2 linked regions of the Coturnix japonica genome follow. The protein of the gene in region 1 interacts with the protein of each later gene in a pairwise test. Links are inferred from orthologs where the notes say so. Each region holds a gene or a part of one and is shown on either strand. Other genes may lie near its edges.

Region 1 (10,479 bases):
AATTAACAATATAAACCGACGTTTTAGATAAAATGGTGCTTTCAGAAATGCTTAGCCACCAAAACTGAAGAGTCCTAGGATTTTTACTACCACTTATAATGACCAGACACTACTACTGCCTAACAGCGGCCGGCAAACATGCCGGTGCCCTTTCTAGTTTTATCAAACAATTCTCTAGGGCATCCTAAACCTCAGTCCCTCTTACAGTTATAAAATCCCACACAGTACAACCTACGGAGAAATTGAAGAACACATTGTCAATCTACACTGGCAGTTCCTTTTCTTCATGCATATTTTAAGGGCGATCCCCTTAATCGTAACTGTCCTGAATACATCTATCATTCCCATTTTGGAGCAATAACACTTTAAAGTGCTGAAAATAATACTTCACTTCTCAGGGGAGGGGAAGGGCAAGGACCAATCAACTCTTCTTGGTCAGTGGAATCACCCTTAAGAGTGCCAGCCAGACTCAGGAAGGGAGCAAAAATGGGCCCATGGCTGCTGAGTGATACCGTCCTGCTCCTGTCTCTCTTGGGCCAGTTCTTAGAGGTGTGACTCATCTTCATCCTTTCTGTGAGCACCAAAGGAAGAGTGAAGGCTTTTAGACCCCCACGTGCAGCTTTCCTGTATACAAAATATTTCTACAGTTTCAGCATAATACAGACAAATACGGATGTTTAAAGAATACGCCACTTATACTCAAGAGATCCAGTGTATCTAAAGAGCGTCTCGATCTACAAAACCAAAGCCAAACTGCTCTCTGCAAACGTCTGGCTTGAATTTCAGACTCCCCCCCACCATGAATTTGCACGGGAACGTTACTGGTTATTGCTTCAGCCAGGCTGCTACAAAACGAGTTACAAAGTCTGTGACATGGGAGCACAGCTTACCAGCTGATGACTCGTCTGGCCTACAAAGGATTTACTCAATAAAAACTTCAGCCCTCGACATCAATTAGACTTCTTAGTGCAGTTTTAAATTCTTAGAGTAAACGCTTAAGATTTGGCATATATTATTGGCACAATGTTCTTCAAACACTTAGAAGTTCATATATAAATATTTATATTCCCATTAATCAGGACGGGTACAAGGAGGACTCAGCCAATCTGGGCAGCCTTTCTGCCTGCGCATATTCCCTCTTTGATTTTCATGCATTGAATGGAGAGCTGCTTCATCCGGTTATCCAGAGCCAGCCCCTCAGCAGAGCCGCTCCTGTTGCTGCTCCTATTCTTGCTCACTCTGTCGCTTGCTTTGTTCTCAGCCCCTTCCGCCCTGTCCCCTGCAAAGAAAAGATGAGGCTCAATATTAAACCCAGATATCAGAAGGTAACTGTGGGCCCTTCATGGACTGCCCTCCCCAAGGAAGCAGCAGCAGCTCAGCAGCCTGTCATACACCTAGGGGAGTTGAGAGGATTTTCCCCACTCCCTTTGTAAAGCTAAACAGCATTGGCCCAGGGTGTATCGAGCTGTTCGTACCTCTTTCAGCTTCACATTCAGGAGATGAAGCCCCACTGCATTCACTTCGGGGGCCAAGGACGGGGAAGATCACTCCAAACTCAGAGAGGGACACGGGGCTGGGCAGATCCAGGGTGCCAGGACGTGTCGTGGGGGGAAACTGAGTGGGCACCTCGCTGGGGCTTGTAGGCCCAGAGCTGAAGCTGGACACTGACTGAGTTTCTGAGTCTTCCTCGGATACAAAGCTGCTGCCGTTGTCATCCTCAAACACTTCAGAGGCCACTGCAATGTTTGAAGATACATTCTCATTAACAAACCTACCCCCTCGTCACCTTTCTGGGTAACAGTTCCTCAGTTCTGCGCCTCCTGTCCACTGGCTCCTGGCTGATGGTGTTTTATCAAACTCCAAAAGACAGAAACTAAGACTGAAAAGGGTCTTGGTGCAAGCTCCCCACATTGCAACACGTTTATTTTTCCCCATACAGCACTATATAAAGAACAGGAGGGAACAACTGATGCATTTTAATTCACCCCCCCGCCCCTTCAGGATATAATAAACTCCTGCAATAACCAGAAACATAACAAGTTAACTGGTCCCACAACAGCCACTGAAATTCAATCTGCACAATATACAGATTATCTTCATCTCAGCATTTCCTCTCTATTCCGCAGCCCATGAGATATTCCCAGGCAAAGAAATGCTCTGCACTCACTTGAGACAGTGTCCAGCTCTGGTTTGCTGGTAGACAAGTCTTCCACAGAGGTGTTGCTCCCTTCAGCACCCACACCGCATCCCCGGGGCCCCATGGCAGTGGACCGTCTCCTCTCATGAATCTCATCTGAGATCATCTCCAGGTTTTTCAAGGCAGTCTTATACTCTCCCTTCGCCAGGGAGAGTTTTGCCTGCAGGTCATCCACTGTTTTCTTCAGTTGCTAACAAGAAAGACAGATGTTAGAGGTACTTTGACTACAAACAACACGGACACACAGCATGCGGTTCATTATGTTCCCCCCTAGCAGGTCCTGCTAAGCTGTCACCCCACCAAAGCCATGGCTGATGGCACAGAACAACACAGCCCACACCCTCCAGCACTATCCCCTGTACCGAGCTCAGGGGCAACCAGCTCCCCATTTCTTCCCTCTATTGTAGTGTATTGACACTTCAGACTACAAGAAGCACAGACAGACAAACTGTATCAGCTCGGTCCTCAAAATGAGGAGCAGGGTTCAAACAGGGGTGTGAACTTACTGCACACAAGGAAACACGGCCTCTTATCTTTAAAGTGTGCTTAGCAAATTGCTCATGATAAGAGGGTTGGAACAAAATTGGCTTTGTACAGTCCACAGTTACTCCGATAGCATGTCCCATGTAATTTCAGTATTTACCACAAGCAGTAAAGAGTCTCAGGGCAATGTGAACTCTGCACTTACCTCTAGCTGGACGTAGTACTTTGCCTTGAGTTCAAAATAAGGTCTGTGGAAAAAACAAACAACTGTTTACAGCCATCAGGACTAAATGCAGAGCGCTGGAGCGGACATTGCTCTCTCAATAGCATTAACAAAGCTACTTTGTGTCTCAGCGTAATCCTGAGAGACCTCTGTAGAGATGACAGAACACCTACAGGCGCTCTCCTCTACTCTTTTTTCTCCTCTAACCCATTTATTTCTCCTGGGTCTTTTGACCTAAATACAAATTGCAACATTCCAGTTGTTGGAGCTGATGATACAACTCCCTCAGGCCTAGATTCTGCAAGATATTGAAATGATGTTCAGCCTACCGCACAGGCATCCTCTCAGCAACCAAGAACAGTTTCCTTCTGCAGCTGCATTTTGTACAAGAACAAGCAGCCTTATGTACATCTCTAGCTTGCAAGCAAGGGCCCAGAAACAAAATTTAAAGCAAAACCAATGCAAAACAATCCTGTAATCATCCAGTCATCAGTCTCACAAGGCGAATCATCCGAACAACTTTCCTTTAGGTCATCCCAGTCTTACTTCAGAACAGTAATGCTTTAAGCATCTTAATCCAGCCTGAAGCATGCAGCAAACACAAATCACTGTTTGCAGGGAAAGCAGCAACACTTCCAGCACATCTGCCAACCCTGGGGGTTTGAGGGGAGGACTCTGGACAACGTGGTCCTGCAATGCCCCAGAGACCACGCTCAAAGACAGTAGATTTAGGATAGATATAAGGAAAAAGCCTGACACAGTGAGGTTGGTGAGACAATGGCATAGGTTGCCTTGTGATGTGGTTAATCCACATCCCAGGAGACTTTTGAGATGAGGCTGGATCAGGCCCTGGACACCCTGATCTAGCTGTGGTGCCCCTGCTCATGGCAGGGGAGTTGGACTAGATGGCCTTCAGAGGTCCATTTCAACCCTAAGGATTCTAAGATCATATGAATCTATCATTCAACAAGATGACTGTGTTTTTGCTCAGGCTCTGAGCAGTGCCAGACAAACAGCACAGCTCATTCTACAAAGCCATGCTGCCACACTGTTATAGCAAACATGCCTGCATCTTCCTTGAGAAGTGCTAAACTTTTCCCAAACTGAGCAAACGCCAATCAAAACAGGCTTTTAGTTGACCAATTTCCCGATCAAATCATTTTTAGATGGTGGGATTAAAAGCTAAACACAGCAAGCAGATTGTTTAGGCAAGCTACAGTCTGGAAATATAAGGAAAGGCTGTGGAATAGAAAGAAGATTAAGAACTGGTTGTCAACAGGGCCAACATTTTAAACAGGTTCTGAGAAAAAGCTGCTCTGTTTCTCTGCAACTGAGCAGAACTGCTCATCAAATGCACACACGTTTCTCAGTGAAGCTGCTCAGCTGTGCTCCCCGAAGCATTTCTTTCCCCATGAACAGCTCTTGCACAGCTTTGCTAAGGCAGCGTTAGGAAGTAAACAAGTCTGATGTACAGCACGCTGCCCTGATGCAGTCTCACACCTTCCACGTTTCTGTCATTTGCTTTGCAGTCTTCCCAACTAAACATAAGAATTTCACAGAGATGCTGCCTATGGAGCTGCAAAGCTTTGCTGTGGTGGTTTTGCAGCTTCAGGGTTTTGTTTTGTTGTGTTTTTTCTTCTGTTTAATCCCATATGCCTCGTTCTCAAGTCACTCATTACGGAAGATTTCAGTGCACTAAAACACAACTAAGAATACACCCAGGAAACTTCTCTAGTACAATTTGTGCTGCAAAGGACAACATCTTTTCACAGGTTTCCAAAATCCCACAGAATCCCCTGTCCCATGAACAGACTTGACCACTAAACTCATCTCCAAGTGTGAAACCTACTTTGATTTATTGATGGCTCTTTTCAGCTTCTTTTCCAGCTGCTTCATCCTCCCCATGGCAGCATTGTATTTGGCTGCGGTCTCCTTGTGAACCAACTCACTTCTTGTCTTGGTTTGTTCTGCCTCCATGACCTGTAAGAAGGAAAACAGAGGTTGAGGGGCAAGACCCAAGCATCCATTTCTTACCATTTTTATTAACATTATATCTACAATCTCTCAAATTAGGAAGGGGCTGAAGATGAACCAGAGGGATAAGAAGACAGCATGCAGTTCAGCCTGTCCCCTCTATCTGAAGCACCAGCTACCAGAAAGCAGCCCATCCAATGAGACAGCCTTTGTCATAGAATCCATGAAGGCTGGAAAGACCACTCAGATCATCTAGTCCAGCCATCAACCCATCACCACCATACCACACTATTCAGTGTTATATCTATCCTTTCCTTGAGCACCTATAGGGGCAGTGACTCCACCAGCTCCCCTATAGCCTGTTTTGCAGAAGACAAGGAAGCTGCCTTTCCTCTTGAAAGAGACAGCCAGCCTCAAATCGTGACTTCAACATCAAAAAAGCTTTGGGCCATGAACTGGTCCACTACAATGCAGGTGGGGAGCATTATGCTGAAGATCAGCCCCTAACCAGGGCAGGCAGATGCCTAAGGCACAGCAGTCCCATTGGCTGCCCTGCCAGCATCCTACAGTCATGTTTTCCCAGTAATTCTGTCTACGGTACTTTCATTTTGCAGATTTGAGCTGCCTGAGGCACCAGAAAATCTGTTTTCTCTAATGCACTGGCAGACAGGATTTAGCAAGAGACAGAACTGATTTGTTTAAAGGAATAGAAGTGGTGACACCTCTCCATTGGTCTGACAGTAAGCAGAAAGCAGGCGGTCTTCAGGCATCCCTTGTTTCAACCCTGAAAGTATTCACAGAAAAATGCCATGGGCCAAATCTGCACTACATCCCCATCAGCTGGAAGGTCGGCTGCCAAACTGGAGGCCACAGTTACTCCTCTGCACTCACCACTTGTTATTACACCAAAGTTGCTATCTGTGAACTAAAAGATCTGATTACACATATACTACGACAACCTTCAACTGCTTCACATGTGAATAAGGCATCCACATTTGAAGTTTAAAAAATAAGAAAGAAATCTGATTGATAGCAGACATTCCCCTGAATCCCAGAAACAAGTTATAGCCTCTCATCTTGAAGTCTCAGAAAGCAAGGTTGATGCAAAGACCTTCCCTGGTGAAATATGCCAGCCAAGGCTGGTTTTAGCATGGAACTGACATAAATTAGAATGCGGTCTCCAAGGACTGCACAAAACCTGGTTTGCTCCTTTGTAGTGTGGCAAGGCAACCGCAATTTACAAATGCTGCAAGCTACAGAATAATAGAGCAACTGAAACGTGCTGATTCTTAATTAAATGCCAATCCTTGCCATCCATTCTTGGGGTGAAATCAGCATGGGATCAACCACTTCAGCACTATCAGCACCATGGTCTTCTAACAGGTGAGGTGTTCTGCCTCTCGTGGACTTCACACATCTTTCACATCAAACACCATAAAAATGCTTCATCCTGCAAGACAGATTTGGGGATGACAGATTGTAAACACCTCAAACTATGTGACAAAATACGGAATTTGCAGCCAGATATCTACGCCCACATTTGTTACCCTTTTTGGAAGGGAAAAAAAAGCTGCATACTTCATCTCCCTGGGAAATCAGCATTGGGAGGCAAGCTTCTCCTCCTGCTGTGTGGCTCTTATACGGTCATGCTACCAGCCTGCTCACATTACCCAAGTGCTCTGCCCAAGGGAGTACAGCTCACAGTGTGTTCGCTAGGCTGAAGACATGGACGTGATCCTACAGCACCTGGAAGGCTGTTCCACATCAGTATCACCACAGAGAGCTGCCTCCTGTCAGGATGTATTTAAACCTTTCACCCAGTCAAGAAGAAACAAAAAGGTCATCTGCTTCTTCACGGAAGCAGAACAGCGCCTTAACATAGAATCTGTCTGCCAGGACATGTGGATAGAAACAGCCTAGGTTCTACTCTAGGCAAGTCAGTGAAAACCCTCAGCTTTTAAAAAGGTCTTAGTAGAGGACAGATGAAGTTTGTGTGGGGGAAAAGCATCAAACAAGTTTTTGGTCACACCATCTGAATACGCTTCTTTCTAATGTAAGACAGTGCTTCTACCGACAAACCTTGCCAAGGCCATCACAGATGCAAGATCATCTCCTTCAAAAAGCCAGAGACAAGAGTGAAGATGACACCTGCTCATAGGTATCAATCACTTCCTCTTTCCTCATCTACCCTCTGTTTCCAACCCAGATGCCATGGAAAGGAGGGTCAGTACAAAATATATATATCTAGCAAATAGGTCTGCGCAAGTGGCTTTGTCCCTCTCAGCCAAGAAATCTTCATCAGCTGAGGTCAAAGATGGACTTCAGGCAAATTTCAGCAATAGCAGCTGCAAAAGAAACATTTGCCAGTGAGATTTAACAAACCTGATCATCTGAGCCAGAGAATTACTCTGGACATCTGTTTCTTTCTCTAAAAAATTAAATGGGCGACTCTTCTAGAAGAAGAAATAAAAGAGGTAAGACAGATAACGCAACACCAGGAAACCAGAAGGGCAGAATCAATAACACAAGGGATAAAGATAGTAGAGGGAAGAATGTAAACACTGTTTGACTTCCATGGTGAAAAGATGGAGAGATAAGAACAGAGAAAGTTGTGGGTATCCCTGTTGCTTATTCCACAGCTTCCTTCCCCCCTTTTTCTCCAAGTGGTTCTACCTGCAGGAAGTCTCTTTTCTCTCCACATCATGAAAGCTCCCACGCATTTTACACCAACAGATGGTACTTCATGGTGTAATAGCAAAAGGAGCTTTGCAAGCCAAATTAAAGCAAGAGGGAGCAAGCCTTCTCCCTCCTTCCTTCCCCCCCACCCTTTCCTTTTTAAAACGTCTAGTGATCAAGAGCCAAAACATGTCTTCTCCCTGCCAGAATTTTTCAATGGAACATACCTCACAAAAGACTGCAGATTGCTCTGGCAATTAGAAATCAGCAAGATCTCACGCAGGATCTTCTTTTCTGCTCCAGTTAGTCTCAAACTTCAGGTAATATTCTGTCAGCTCTTTTCTTTTGGATGCATTTATATCCAAGAATGACCTTTACATAATTATAAATGCAAAGATCTCTGCCCCTCATCCCTCCTTTCACTGGCCACCTGTGCCACCAACTCCAGGTACCGACAGACAGGGAAGACTCCCACACCCAAAACCCAAATACCGACTGACAACCTGTACTCCCGGTACCTACTCATGCTGGTTGTCTGCTCTGCATATAGACACATCTCCCACATGTTATGCTTCTGACCCATCCAGGAGATGAAGATCTTCACCAACACTTGCATTTCTAAACAGTTACACAGATGATTTCTCTATTTCAGTGGCTACAAAAGGCTTGTTGACATTATCCTGTTATACCAGTAGCGCTTATTTTCAATGTGACAGTATCTTTTCAAACCATGGAGAAATCAAAAGGCAGTTACACTGTGCAGCCCTCAGCTCCATTTCTTTTCAACCAAGATCTGCAAACAGCATTTCCTAATAGGTACTTTGCAGTTCAAGTCTTCATTCGCATCCATTAGGTTAAGTGGAAAAGCAACCAGGATTTATTTCCATACAAGATTATACAAATAAAGATGTGTCTGATTTGTCCTCTTGCCTATCCCTTTTCCTTATGTTCTCTGCACTGTCTGTCAGCTACCAAGCTGCTTTAGGGCTCGGATTTGTTCCAAATTTTGAATTAATTCAATAGAGTCTGCTACTGCTGCCTAGGAAGGGCAAATAAAAACACTCCGCTCTTGCCTCTCGTTTCTACCAATATAGAAACAAATGAATTAGTAACTCACTTCTGACATTTGGCCCAGAGATGCTGTTTGGCACTTGATTCATTGCTGTACAAGGCACAGTGCAAGATTATGCTCTGTCCAATAGATGTAATTTACAGTTATAGGCAAAAAAAATAAAGGAAAAAAAAAAAGCTAATCCAAAAAAGAGCAGCCCAACGGCTGCAAAAAGCTTCTCCAAGAGTGACTTTCCACATGGAAACAGAGTGCTGGTTGACTGATGGTAGTTTGTGTACCTCAATGAACCCTAAGAACCTCACTAATTGCATGCACTGAAATGAAGAACATATTCACTCGGCTTTTAAAGAAGACTGAAACGCAGACAGTATTCCAAACAAACCACTGCCAGGCTTTTCCAGTCAAGACATTTTTGTTTATTGTTGTTGTTTTCTTTACCCTTGTTGGCTCTGGCTCTATCCTCAACATCGCTAAAAGGGTTAATGAAAATCAGGAGGAAAACTTCCATGTACTTCTTTCCAAACATGCAGTATCCTGGAAAGGCAAAGATATGTGCTTTCTGGGATCTGAGTTTACCCAGACTATTTTCAGTACCATAAAGAGTAGGGTAACACACTGCCTATCCAGTAAGTCCTCAGCTGCTCTACACAGATCAATCTGTGCCTAGGAGATTTTACATCAGAGCAAACACAAGGCTCCTATGTTCTGTTCAGCTGCAACCATCAGAGAAGTCACTGTTTCAGTCAGTCCTCAGACCGGACAAGGAGACCTCTTGCATTCAGTGACAGTACATGCAAACACCATCAGCTCCACCAAACACTGTGAGAAGTCCTCTTCTGCTCTAAGTCACCAAGTCTGGAAATCTCAGGCATGCTCGTCTTGGCTGCAGGATGTCTGAGAACAATTAAGGGCTGCAGAAGGACACAGGAATTCCTTAAGGATATCCAAGGAAAGGAGGAATCCATTTAAACCCTGAAAATTGCCAGCATTTCTTCTCTCCTGCCTGCTAGAGGGAGCCAGCTGATTGGCTGCTCTCAATCATCTCAGCAACTCCTTAGAGAAACTCTAAGCAACTCCTTAGGAGCTTCTATTTCTTCCTCATCTATCTACTCTGAGGATAAAAAAAAAAAATAGCGTATGCATTTCTGGACCTCACTCACATGAAACAGGGATAACAGCCAAGGAAAAAACAACAGCTGTTGGTGTCTTGGCAAACACACTGCAAAGCTGGGTTCAGAAACGCAGAGGTTACCAGATCTGCAAATACTTAATGACAGGGACAGTAACACCAACTACTCCCCAGCGGATTTCTGTGCGTTTTTTAATTATTCATGTTTTAGTTTATACCGGGTTTTCCATCTCTCCCCAACACAGCCAACATCCTTTTTGTTCTCTGTTTCGTCATCTGGCAGCTGGTTTCAGAATTCAGTCTGAAATAGAGGTTTTCTTATAACCAAGAAGCTTCTGCAACAGAACAAAGCTACTGCATTGAAGACTGCAAGACAACGCCAGCATTGTACGACACGCTCCCCACGCTTGGAATAGCAAGTTCAGCTTCACTGACATATCAGGGGAACTCTGACAGAACAAAGGATTTCAACTTAGATTTTGGGTTTTTTCATGTTAAAAAGAAAGAGAAGAAAACCACAACACCTTTCTGCATATTTAACAGGTAAGGAAAAAGAGAGAAGGCAAATGACAGGAAAATTCTTGACAGCTGCTAAAAATGAATACTGCCTTTCACTGTTGCTGCATCTTCTCTGTAGACTTAAAAAGACCTTACCAGGAAGGTAAGATCCTTTCTAAATTTGAAAGTAAATTTATAACAGAAGTGTGCAAGCTTAAAATGCAACA
Region 2 (10,479 bases), on another chromosome or scaffold:
AACGACATCAGCCAGCAGAGGCACACGCTGGTCTGCACAGCCCACCAGGCCACGGTGTCCCTCTGTGCTGGCCACAAATGGGCATGGGACCGTTACAAGACAAAAGCCACTGCAAAATGATTTCTTCACACAGCACCTTTACTCTGCACAGAACATCAGATATGTAACATGGGCAGTTCCAAGATACCAAACAATGTATTTTTTGTACTCCAGAACTTCACAGCTCCAGATTTTGTTCCATTAGCACACAGAAAACAACAAGCGAGAACAAAATCTGGTGCAGGCCCTGGTGGGGTTTTGTTTTTAGGTTTGTTCTTGTTTTTCAAAGATGTAAAGCTTTCAACTTCCACACCCACATTAACCATTTTGCTCATCTACGCAGCACAATTCATTTCTTTTAATCACTGAAATCTATGTCTAATGGGGATGGTGAGCCACACTCATTCTCAATGCTATCTGAAACCCTAGTGTAGATAGGCACATCCCCCACTCCATTCTTAACTAAATTAAAACCAAACCTCAAACTTAAATGATGAATACAAAACTTCAAAGCCTAGTGGTGATCTCTGCAATCCTAACACTACTAAACAAGTAGCCAAAAATACAAGCATCCGACTGTGTCAATGACGTCTGATTAAAAGGACAACTAGGCCAGAGCCTGGCTTGGACTGCGAAGCTGATTATTTCATCAGGTCACAAAATGAAGTGAAAACCATAGATCCAGTGCCAGCTCGAGAGAAATAAAACCCAAAGCTCAAGATCTGCTGCAGTATTGCTATTTCTAAGGTTTTCTTTATAGATATTACAAAGAGTGGATGTGCAGGCAGCCAGACCGCATCAGATGACTGATTTTACAGTGGGTGCAGTTCCTCCAGGAGGATGACCTGCTTCAACACTAAAGCCTTAATGCTAAAAATGAGATTTCTGTGTCTTAAAGCTGAAAGTGAAGACTCCGTTTAGTCCAAACACCCCGAGCAAACCCCATTGGCAGGGAGCACGTTTTAATAAACTAAAAGCATGCTATTCTGCCGTTCCCTCGCTTAAAGGGTGTTAAAGCTGGAATGCATGAACTGGATCATCAGTTATTCAGCAGCGCTGGTCGATAGGGGAATGGACAGCCTGTTCAAAGGAACGTTTTACCTCCAGCCATTATATGCTCGGTGCTGGAAAACATCTCACAGTGATGGTTTAAAAACGAAACCAGAACAACTAATAAGGGCTTGATTTTCAGCCTTCTCTGAAGTTGTAAAAACAACCCCCTCCCTCCAAAAAAAGAAATTAATTCCTACTCTTGTTAAATCTCTACTGTTCATGAGGGAGACTTCAGAATTAGTCTGATGCTGTGCTATGCAATGCTGAAATATAACTTCCTCCTACCCAGCAAAATAGATCCGGGAACTTGCATGGAAGGGGCTTGGGGTGGGTACATCCCAGCTCTGTTCTCTGGTAAACCTGCCAGCAAATCCACTTCCCAACTGATCTTATTATTAAAGTTTTCCTCATAAAGATGTAAAACCCATATTTTAAAAAATTACTTTTGTAAACCACTTAAAGCTGTTGGACAACCATGATGTCAAACAGATGTGACACCAAACTGCTGTAACACATTCTCCCTTACCAGTTTGAAAACCACCTTCTGTGTCTCATAATACAGAGGGATGCAACCCAGATACATCCTTGCATGTGTGGTCTTCTGACTTGTCAGCTGTCTCCCAGCAAAACCGTATGCCACTGTAAGGGGAGAACGTTTCACAAGCTGCACGCGCTTGATAGCAGCCTTGTAAAATGTTCTTTTAGAGATATCAGTAGAGGGCACTGACCTGCTGTATTTAGCACAAGAGTCGGTTTGACACTTCTGCTGGGTTTCCCCAGAAAACTCACACAGACAACGCAGCAAACCGAAATGGGATTTGTTTCCACTCTAAAGTAACACTCACAGATTAGTATCGTTTGCTCAGAGGTGTGCGAAGAAACCCCCTATCTTGAAGAACTGGACGTAGCCCCTTCTCAGATGAATCTCATATTGCATTGTTAATGGTTTTAGTCAACTTGACTTTGTGCAAAATACCTTTAAGTAGGTTCTGGCTAAACTCCAGAATACAAAAGGAAAATAAATAGTTGTCTGAGACTTTCTGAAAAGATAAATTGAATGCTGCATGCTGGAAGGAAAATTATGGACTTAATGCAGTTTATCTGCAAATAAAGTAAGCAGAACAGTAGTGTCTGAAATTTTAACAAGTGAGATGGCCTTGATAAAGATTTGTTTGCACAATGTTCCCAAAGTCTAGATCAAAACAACATTATTTTGCACATGGTAATGGTAGAGACTAGGAGCCTGAGATGCATTATTAAAAGGCAGTCTCTTGTAAACCTTCCTCAAAAGGAACGATAGCAGTTGAGTATGCAAGAGTTACTCATATCGTATTCATCAAGACAGCAATGCTCTATAAAAGACATACAGCGTATTTCCAGATTAAGAATTTTATATGATACTGATATCCTGAACACATTTCCACCCAGTCCAAGATTGAAGTCACATCCTTCTTCGCTGCTCTGTAGCTACTAGGTCTTTTGCTCTGCTGCTGTTCCTGTCTGCGAGGGAGCTTCTGGTTTCACAATCTGGTACGTAATAAGATATTCTGGATATGCCTAAAAGTCAAGAAAAAGAAACCATTTAACAGGAGGGGTACACTCAATAACTTCACATTTTGGATTTCAAACAACGACCAGGAAGGACAGAGCAAGAATCAGCTCTGTGTTCAAAGAGTGCAAGTGTTAGGATACAAAGCACATATTTTCTGCTCTGAGGATAATTAAGCAGAAGAACAAGCTACCGAGAGAGATTCTGAAACATCAATCTCTTTCAAGTCCTACCTGGTCAGAGCCCTCAGCAATCTGGTGTGCAAGCAAGGGTGAACGAGGGGTTGTTTTAGATGACTGCCCAATATTCTTTCCAACTTGAATTTATTTTGTAATCTCTGAATCATCCAGGGCAGTGAGCAAACCTCTCTTCTAGGCTAAGAACCTCCACTGAGTTACTCAGAATAAAAATCATCTCTTGAAGACTGCTGTGCTACTTCTGCTGCCATAAGGGGAGACAGGGACATTGCCACAGCTGGGAATCCACAGGTAAAAAGCTGAGAATACTCACAATCTATAAAGCCCCAGAAACGTATGCGTTCTTGTTACTGCAGTAATGTCAGTTAAACGCAGTGGGAGAAACAGCACATACTCAAACTACATCTCTTAAAAGGCTCTTCTCAGTGCTGCAGAAGAAGAATGAGGCCATTTTCCACATCGTAGATCAGAGAAACTCAGTGGAAAGGAGTAGCAATTCTTGCCTCAATACAGTTTACAGCTTACATTTAAGTGAAAAAAAGCTAAGACAGCACACCTGGAGTGGAAATAATTTATAGCCCTTCTGAAACTTCAAGCTCTGCTGGTCATCACTAGCCACCTACCTGTTCTCCTCTATAGATAACATATTCAGCATATGCAAGTCCATTCACACTTGGCCTGCCAATAACTGAATGGTGTCCTGGAGGGGCATGCGCCATCTTCATGGTACTAAACTGAAGAAAGGATTTTCCAAGGGTCACTCTACAGAAAAGCATTTGTCTGAAAAGAGAAACACCGTGTTAACATATCTGAGAGACATAAGCTTCCGGGATGATTTCAGACTTCTGTTTCTTACAATTAATTTCTCATAGGTTTTTGGAGAAACAGTTATAGAAACCAAGTCTAAGGCTGTGTCTAAAAATTCTTGCTTGACATTCAGAAAGGAAAACACATGCTTTGTTTAGCTGTTGCATGGAGGCTGGCTCTTGTTCATTTCCTATAAAGCTGATGTATGAAGCCGTATGAACACTCTGTGTGTTCCAACCAGCAGAGTGAGTGTCAAAGCATGAAAAGCACACCGATCTACTTCAGTACAAAACAAAGCTGTGATTAAGTCTTGCTCACTACCTCCAAAATTATGTGGTCTGTAGAATCAAACTGTACTGCTGATCACCACTTTGCAGCGCAGTTTCATTCTAAGATTACCTGGAGTTTAATTGCTTTTCTGCCTGACTCTCCATTTTCAAACTTGCCATTTTAAGTCTCTTTCCTGAGTCACCACTCACTTTGATTTATACTCACTTTGACCTTTCTGTGGGACTCACATTTATGTCCGCTTCTGTTCAGCCCCGACAAATGGAAAAGTGCATTTTCCCCACCGTGACCAAACTTAAGTGGCTATTCTTTCCCCACAATTCATCCTGTGCCAGGGTCATAAAAACCAGGACAGCTGGAGTTACCTACAGGGATCTCTGGTGGAGACATACCTATGGCAAACATAACAAGATCTATCTTTGTGAATTGGACATCCAGTGCCACCTCCAATCCCATACACATACTGATTGCTTTTGGAAGAGTTTTCAGCAAAGTAAATTCCAGCTCCAAACATTCCTCCTATATAAGCGTGTCTTTCATCAAAGCCTTTGTGAATGATTGCGTTCACAAACGGGGAGCCTAGAAAAGACAAAAGGTTGTGTTATCATGCAGTTGTTAAGACCTGTATTAATTCTGGGCTTTATGTCAAGAGGAGGTTTTTCTGCCTCAGATAGATCATTGAATACCACAGAGTGTGCTCAGTCAGCTGGAAGGGGGCGATACCCAGCAGGATGCAGTGATGTGTGGGATTTATCATTCTATACCAAGATCCCACGTGTGACTCAGATCTTACTCAGTTACAGATCTCATTAAGTGGCCTTCCCACCCCCTCCTCACATTTCAGCACAATTTATTTTGTCAGTGCACACTTTCTTCAGTAGTCAGTACTCTCCAACAAAGGGCAAATTTATCAGGGCAATCAAACCCTAAAGCCATTTCCTTCACAGGATTAGAGAAGGTGCTAGGGAAGGATTAATTTGAATTAGATAGTTGTCCTTTGCAGGCACTTCTGGATGCTTCTGGAGAACATCTTGCTTAAACTCATGGTGAGCTTTGATTCCTTTCCCTCATGATTGCAGGAAGTGCCATGGAAAAATGCTTTTCACTATGTGCTGCTCACCTCTTTCAGAGGATAACTTGTATTTCTCACAGCAGTGTATAGCTCTCCCAAAAGTTAGCATCAGTTTTAATGGCAATGACTGAGATACAGCATTTTGTAAACATATTTTGTATCTAGTGGAGCTTTACAGATTGCATAGAATACCTTCACCACCCCCACACCCATGCATTTTTAGCACAGAAAAACAATTACTGTACAGGATGGTGAAAACAGCCTCACTAACACTGCCTGTGGGTTCCTATTTGCTTCTGGTTTCCTTATTTATTTTTTTTAATACCAGTACATACAAATAGTTATCACTTTGTTACCATGAAATAACATGCGCTCATTGTGATGGTTATGATTCTCTTCAGAGACTTCCTTCTGCCTGTGACAGAATCTCTCCCGCAACTTCTTATTCACAACCTTCTGAATCTGCAATGGAACAACAAGCATTAAATATGCAACTCAAAATAAGTGAAATATGGTTTCAAAAAGGTTTGTAGAAATTCTACAGAGAAGCACAGCAAGACAAACGAATGGTAAAAAAAACAACTTCAAACAAAATTAACATGCCCCTTCTGAATATATCGTTGCACCAAGTCTACAGCATATGCTTCAAGATGTTCACATATATTGTGAACTATAGCTTAAGTTCTCAGGTTTAAGGCAGTCTTTCAGGCTTCAGCCCTCAGAGTAGGTAATACCATCAAGAACCATCAAGACTGTCTGAAACTCCTTCCCTCCCCTGCTTTGGCCGCTCTTGAACAGGCCTAGCTTTCTGAAGGTTTAGGTTTAATGTTCACTATGTGGTTGGTGGCAGTTCTGCCCATGGCAAGGAGTTGGAACTGGATGGGCTTTAAAGTCCTTCCCAACCCAAACCACTCCATGTCTTCTTTAGACTCCTTTAACAGCACAAGTGGACACTTCTTCCTCACTCCATATACCAAGCACACAATCAGTTTAATTTTAGTACTCTGTGCTTGCTTTAACTCTGTAATTGATTATCATACCAACAAAGAACTCTAAGTTTAAAAGGTTGATCTATTAAAATCAATTTTGTGTGCTTGCATAAGTACCAACTTATTTTACTACAAAGAACTACAAGGCTTTGAAACTTACCCTGATGACATTGTACCTGTTGAAGATCCCACCAGCATTTCCACCATCTCTATGCTCCCGGATTGTACTTTGCATCTACACATAAATGAACACAACTGAATGCTCAGCACATAAAACTTGTTAGCAAGGAAAAGTAATCATGCAGTATCTGTCTTAATACATCACAGACAGCAGTAGAATCTGGGATGAAAATTAACTAAAAGGTGCCAAAAAAACTAAATTTTAAATGGAGATGCATACTTTTATTCTGGCACCCAACACGCTATTGAGCTCTACAATGCTGTCTGAGAAGCTGAATGTTGCAATTCCTCAATCTTATAATAAAAACCTACAAAGGGAAGAGGATTGGCACCCGCTATCAAAATTAGACTATTGGAAGACCCGCTTTAGATTAGAAAAAAATTAAAAAGTAACTCACAAAAAGATCATTTTGAAGTAATAACAAACACATTTCTAATGACTACAGCCTGTATTTCTTAGTGACATGAAAATGCTTACACTAAGTTTTCTTATGGCATTAAAAGCTTCTAAGAATTTCAACAATTTAACCCATTTTCTTTATAACCACAGCACCAACATTTAGTAAAAACTAAAATAAGCATCCCAATTTAGTAAACAAGTGACTCTTTCTTTCAGACATGGCTGCACAAAAAATCTGCACAAACTCCAGTTTGTAGAGTTACTAATAAAAAATATTCCAGGATACTGGCAGCAATACTGAGTACCAGGGTTCTCTGTGCTACAAAGCAACATCCCTACACAAGCAACTGAACAAACAATGAAGTCTTTATTTCAAATGTAACTCTTCAGAAAGTTTCTGTCCTCTTAAGCTTTTCCTTTCAAAATGGTAACTGCTTGTAGTTGACTCAAATAAAAGAGCATGTGTGCGTGGGAGGTAAAATTACAGTCATCTCTGCTTATCCAAGAGTTGCTTTATCTAGGTTACAGATTAACTAAGCCACTGAGACAAGAGAAAACAAGCTGGTTCACATGCAGAAACAGCCTGAGCAAAGAGAATGCCTACAGACTTGTAAAGCCTTGATCTCCTAGTCTCCACACACAGCCTTTGCCTTTCTCAGGTGTGCCTTTCTCTGATAAGCTCTGTAAGCCCTAGCTATGAGATGACCTCCAGAACCCAACGCCAGCAAGACAAAATTAGGTCAGCATGGAGTGAGAAACAAAATCATGTGTTTAAAGAAAAAAAACTGGCAGGAAACAGCAAATAAAATAAAATATAATATATATTATATATATATCATCTTCAGTATAAACTGAAACTAATTAATGCCCTAAACTCCACATCAGATCTTTCCAATTCACCAATGCATGTTTTATCACTTTAGCATGTGTTGCAAGATTTAGCTCTAAGGATTAGGTGATGAGGGAAATGCACCACCACCAAACAAGCTAATTGCAATACCTCTTCTTCAACGGACTGATACTCCTTATCGTCAGGTGCAAGGTCAAGCAGAATAGTCCCCTGACTCACGCAGTGGAAAGTTAAATAAGGATTGGTACCTACAAAGGGAAGGGAATAAAGAAGTTTAAAAAAAAAAAAAATAAAAATCAACTGGAGAAAATAAAGCCAGCCTTGTTTTTATTAAACACTGCAATTTTTCTGCTTATATAACACCAGCAGGAAACACAACATAAACACAAGGTTTAAAAATAACCTTGAAACGATGAAGTACTTTCTTTGGCAGCAGGGTCTTCAGAGAGAGGAGAAAAACACTAGTGTCACAACTACATTTTATGGTTTGTGCTTTAAGAGAAGGACCCAAGTGGCATGGGACAGCAAAGAGCTCCATCAGGCCTTCACGCTTCAGGATACAGCTAGCCTATATGTAGGGCAAATCAACCCAAAAGCTCCCCCCTCCCTGGTCAAACAGAACCCCTGTAAATGGGCACAGCTTCCACAGGTTCCTGGGGTTATCCATTCTCTGGAAAGATGAGCAGTCACTCAGTCCTGTATCAACACAATATATTCCTTACCTGTCACAAGCCACCAAACCATCAGTGAGCATGTTTTCCAAACAATCACACTCTTTCAATTGCTGGTATCAATGCCTACGTTTACATCGTGTTCTGTGTTACTCAGACTAACAAGTAAAAACATCATATTTACCTTGCTGGCCTCCTAGAAGTCTCTCCACACCTTTTATCAATTTGTGCCGGTGGCCATAGGCATTAATCCCTATTTCTTTAAGCTCCTCATGTCCCATGTCTGCCAACACATCTAGGGTTATCTGGAAAGGTGAAAAACCGCAACAATCACCAGACAAATCACCAGTCAAAGATACATCAGTTCAGAAAATGGATTGTATTCGTGCTACAACCAAGAGAACACATATTTTGTTTTACCATATTCTTAACTACTGCCACCTGCTGGCATGCTCCTCCCTCACACAGGACCATGCCCAGCTGCTACAGCTTGGGCTGCTTAGAACTTCTCTCACAGCAATTAACAAGAGCTCATTCTTGTTACAATCATGTTTATTTCTGTAGGAGGAGGATGCACGGAGAAGCTGGGACAAGTCAAAGCATGGGAATATTTTTGAAGCATTCAGGGTCTCACCTTCTAGTGTTATTCAGAATTTTCATTGTGCAACCAAAAAGGTGTTTCACACTGGTATATAATAGTGTATGCATATCCACATGTGTGCTTGCACAGAGACGGAGCCAATGGGATGGCCAGGTTAAGTCAAGCTCAACTATCCCAACTATTTCCCACGCTCAAACTTTGGGAAATAATTAGCATTGTAAGGACAGGCATAACTAGTTACGTTATTCTAATATACAAATGCATCCACCATCACCTGACATGATTTTAGACATCAAGGTCACACAGATTATTGGTAGAAATAGAAAGATAATAAAAGGACAAACTATTTTCAAAGTCAAAGCAAGAGGAAAATATAGGTGCTAAATGAAATACGTATTTTTCATTGCTGCGAAGCAATTCTGTGCTGAGGTGTTTATGTGAAGTACAAAGATTTAATGTGATGGAAGTAACTGCATAAAGCCTACTTCCAATTTTACATTAAATTGGAACTGGAAGCTCAACAAATAATAGGAACCCACACAACTTGCTTAAAAGCCAGGTAGACTGTTAGCACAACTGGACTTACAGATATCAACACTGTCAACTACAAATTGAGTACCACAAATCCAAAGGAAAGCAATTCAAGCAAGGAATTACAGATACCCTGAACAACTGTGCAATTGAGCAGAAACAGCCCTAATGAGATTGCTGTGGAAAAGCCACTGAAGGGATTCACAGGATAACAGGAAACACAGACAACAGACAGCACCAGCACAGACCCAATATCAATATGAGATTAGAGCCAAGTAGAAAAAAAAGAACATGAAAGCAGTGGGATGATGAACTTATTTTTACTAGAAAGACAAACCTACAAGAGCAGTTTAGCAGTTTTGGAAATGATAAATCTGATTTAAATTGTTTAATCTTAGTAGCAGGGAAAGATCTTAAATACAGGTTAGAAGTTGAGGAAGTAAAAACTGGACAAAAGCAGCACAGCAAGAGGAAGGTGAGGAAAAATAATAAAATAAGAACAAAAACTGAGTAGAATACAAATTCATTTGGGGTTGGTTTGCTTCTTACTAGAAGCAGTTCCAAGTTAAAGAAATGAGCCTATGCTTATGTGTAAGAAGGGAAAAAAATATTATATAGCGTGGTAACTTTGGGGAGGGAGATACCTCTGTAACGTTTCGTGGAAGAATTTGGAGGCTTTTCTGTAAGTAACAAATTACATTTAAAATATTTACTTCCTGATCCATCACAAAAGACTAGCAGCAAAAGTATGAGAAAAAAACTATCATCAAATCCAGCCTCCCTGTACTTTTTACATCCACCAGTGTCCATCTTATTCACACAATCTTTTTAACTACTCAACTACATTTCTAGTTCAGCTTAGTGGTCAAACTGTAGGAATTCCTACGTCTAACTTAAGTGTTACACATAGCAGCACAGATGGTGAAAAGTTTATTCAAACATCAAGACTGCTACAGGAGAAGTGCAGGTGATGTTCCTGCATTTCCTAAATTTTACAATAGTCACTTATGTTCAAAAGTTAATTCAAAGTTCACGTGCAGTTCTCAGAATACAAGCCAAATTAGCAAGCACTGTTTCTTAAGAAAGTGAAAACCACCAATATCTAACTCAAACAGGCAGATATTTTTGTTTCTACTTCACTGAACAGCATTTGCCAAATCATTCATAACTGCACTTTTCTTGGATATGTTTAATTTTTTTTCTGTAGATGTGAAATCATCTTTTTGCTCTCTTTTAAAATCCGGGAATTGAA

Evidence for each region.
Region 2: the proteins of SH3BP5 (region 1) and TNKS interact in a two-hybrid assay, tested with the Homo sapiens proteins (2 studies listed by BioGRID and IntAct). The link is inferred for Coturnix japonica from reciprocal best matches to the Homo sapiens genes SH3BP5 and TNKS.

What each region holds. Positions count from the first base shown.
Region 1 is NC_029517.1:38,180,145-38,190,623, reverse strand, and holds part of SH3BP5 (SH3 domain-binding protein 5), read right to left. Parts: intron 4,884-10,479; coding exon 4,753-4,883; intron 2,929-4,752; coding exon 2,886-2,928; intron 2,388-2,885; coding exon 2,168-2,387; intron 1,737-2,167; coding exon 1,476-1,736; intron 1,280-1,475; coding exon 1,098-1,279; 3' UTR 1-1,097. UniProt on the Homo sapiens protein: Functions as a guanine nucleotide exchange factor (GEF) with specificity for RAB11A and RAB25. Inhibits the auto- and transphosphorylation activity of BTK. Plays a negative regulatory role in BTK-related cytoplasmic signaling in B-cells.
Region 2 is NC_029519.1:44,037,196-44,047,674, forward strand, and holds part of TNKS (poly [ADP-ribose] polymerase tankyrase-1), read right to left. Parts: intron 9,908-10,479; coding exon of another isoform or gene 9,776-9,907; exon of another isoform or gene 9,761-9,775; intron 8,401-9,760; coding exon 8,280-8,400; intron 7,673-8,279; coding exon 7,575-7,672; intron 6,230-7,574; coding exon 6,155-6,229; intron 5,468-6,154; coding exon 5,362-5,467; intron 4,513-5,361; coding exon 4,326-4,512; intron 3,619-4,325; coding exon 3,462-3,618; intron 2,650-3,461; coding exon 2,563-2,649; 3' UTR 1-2,562.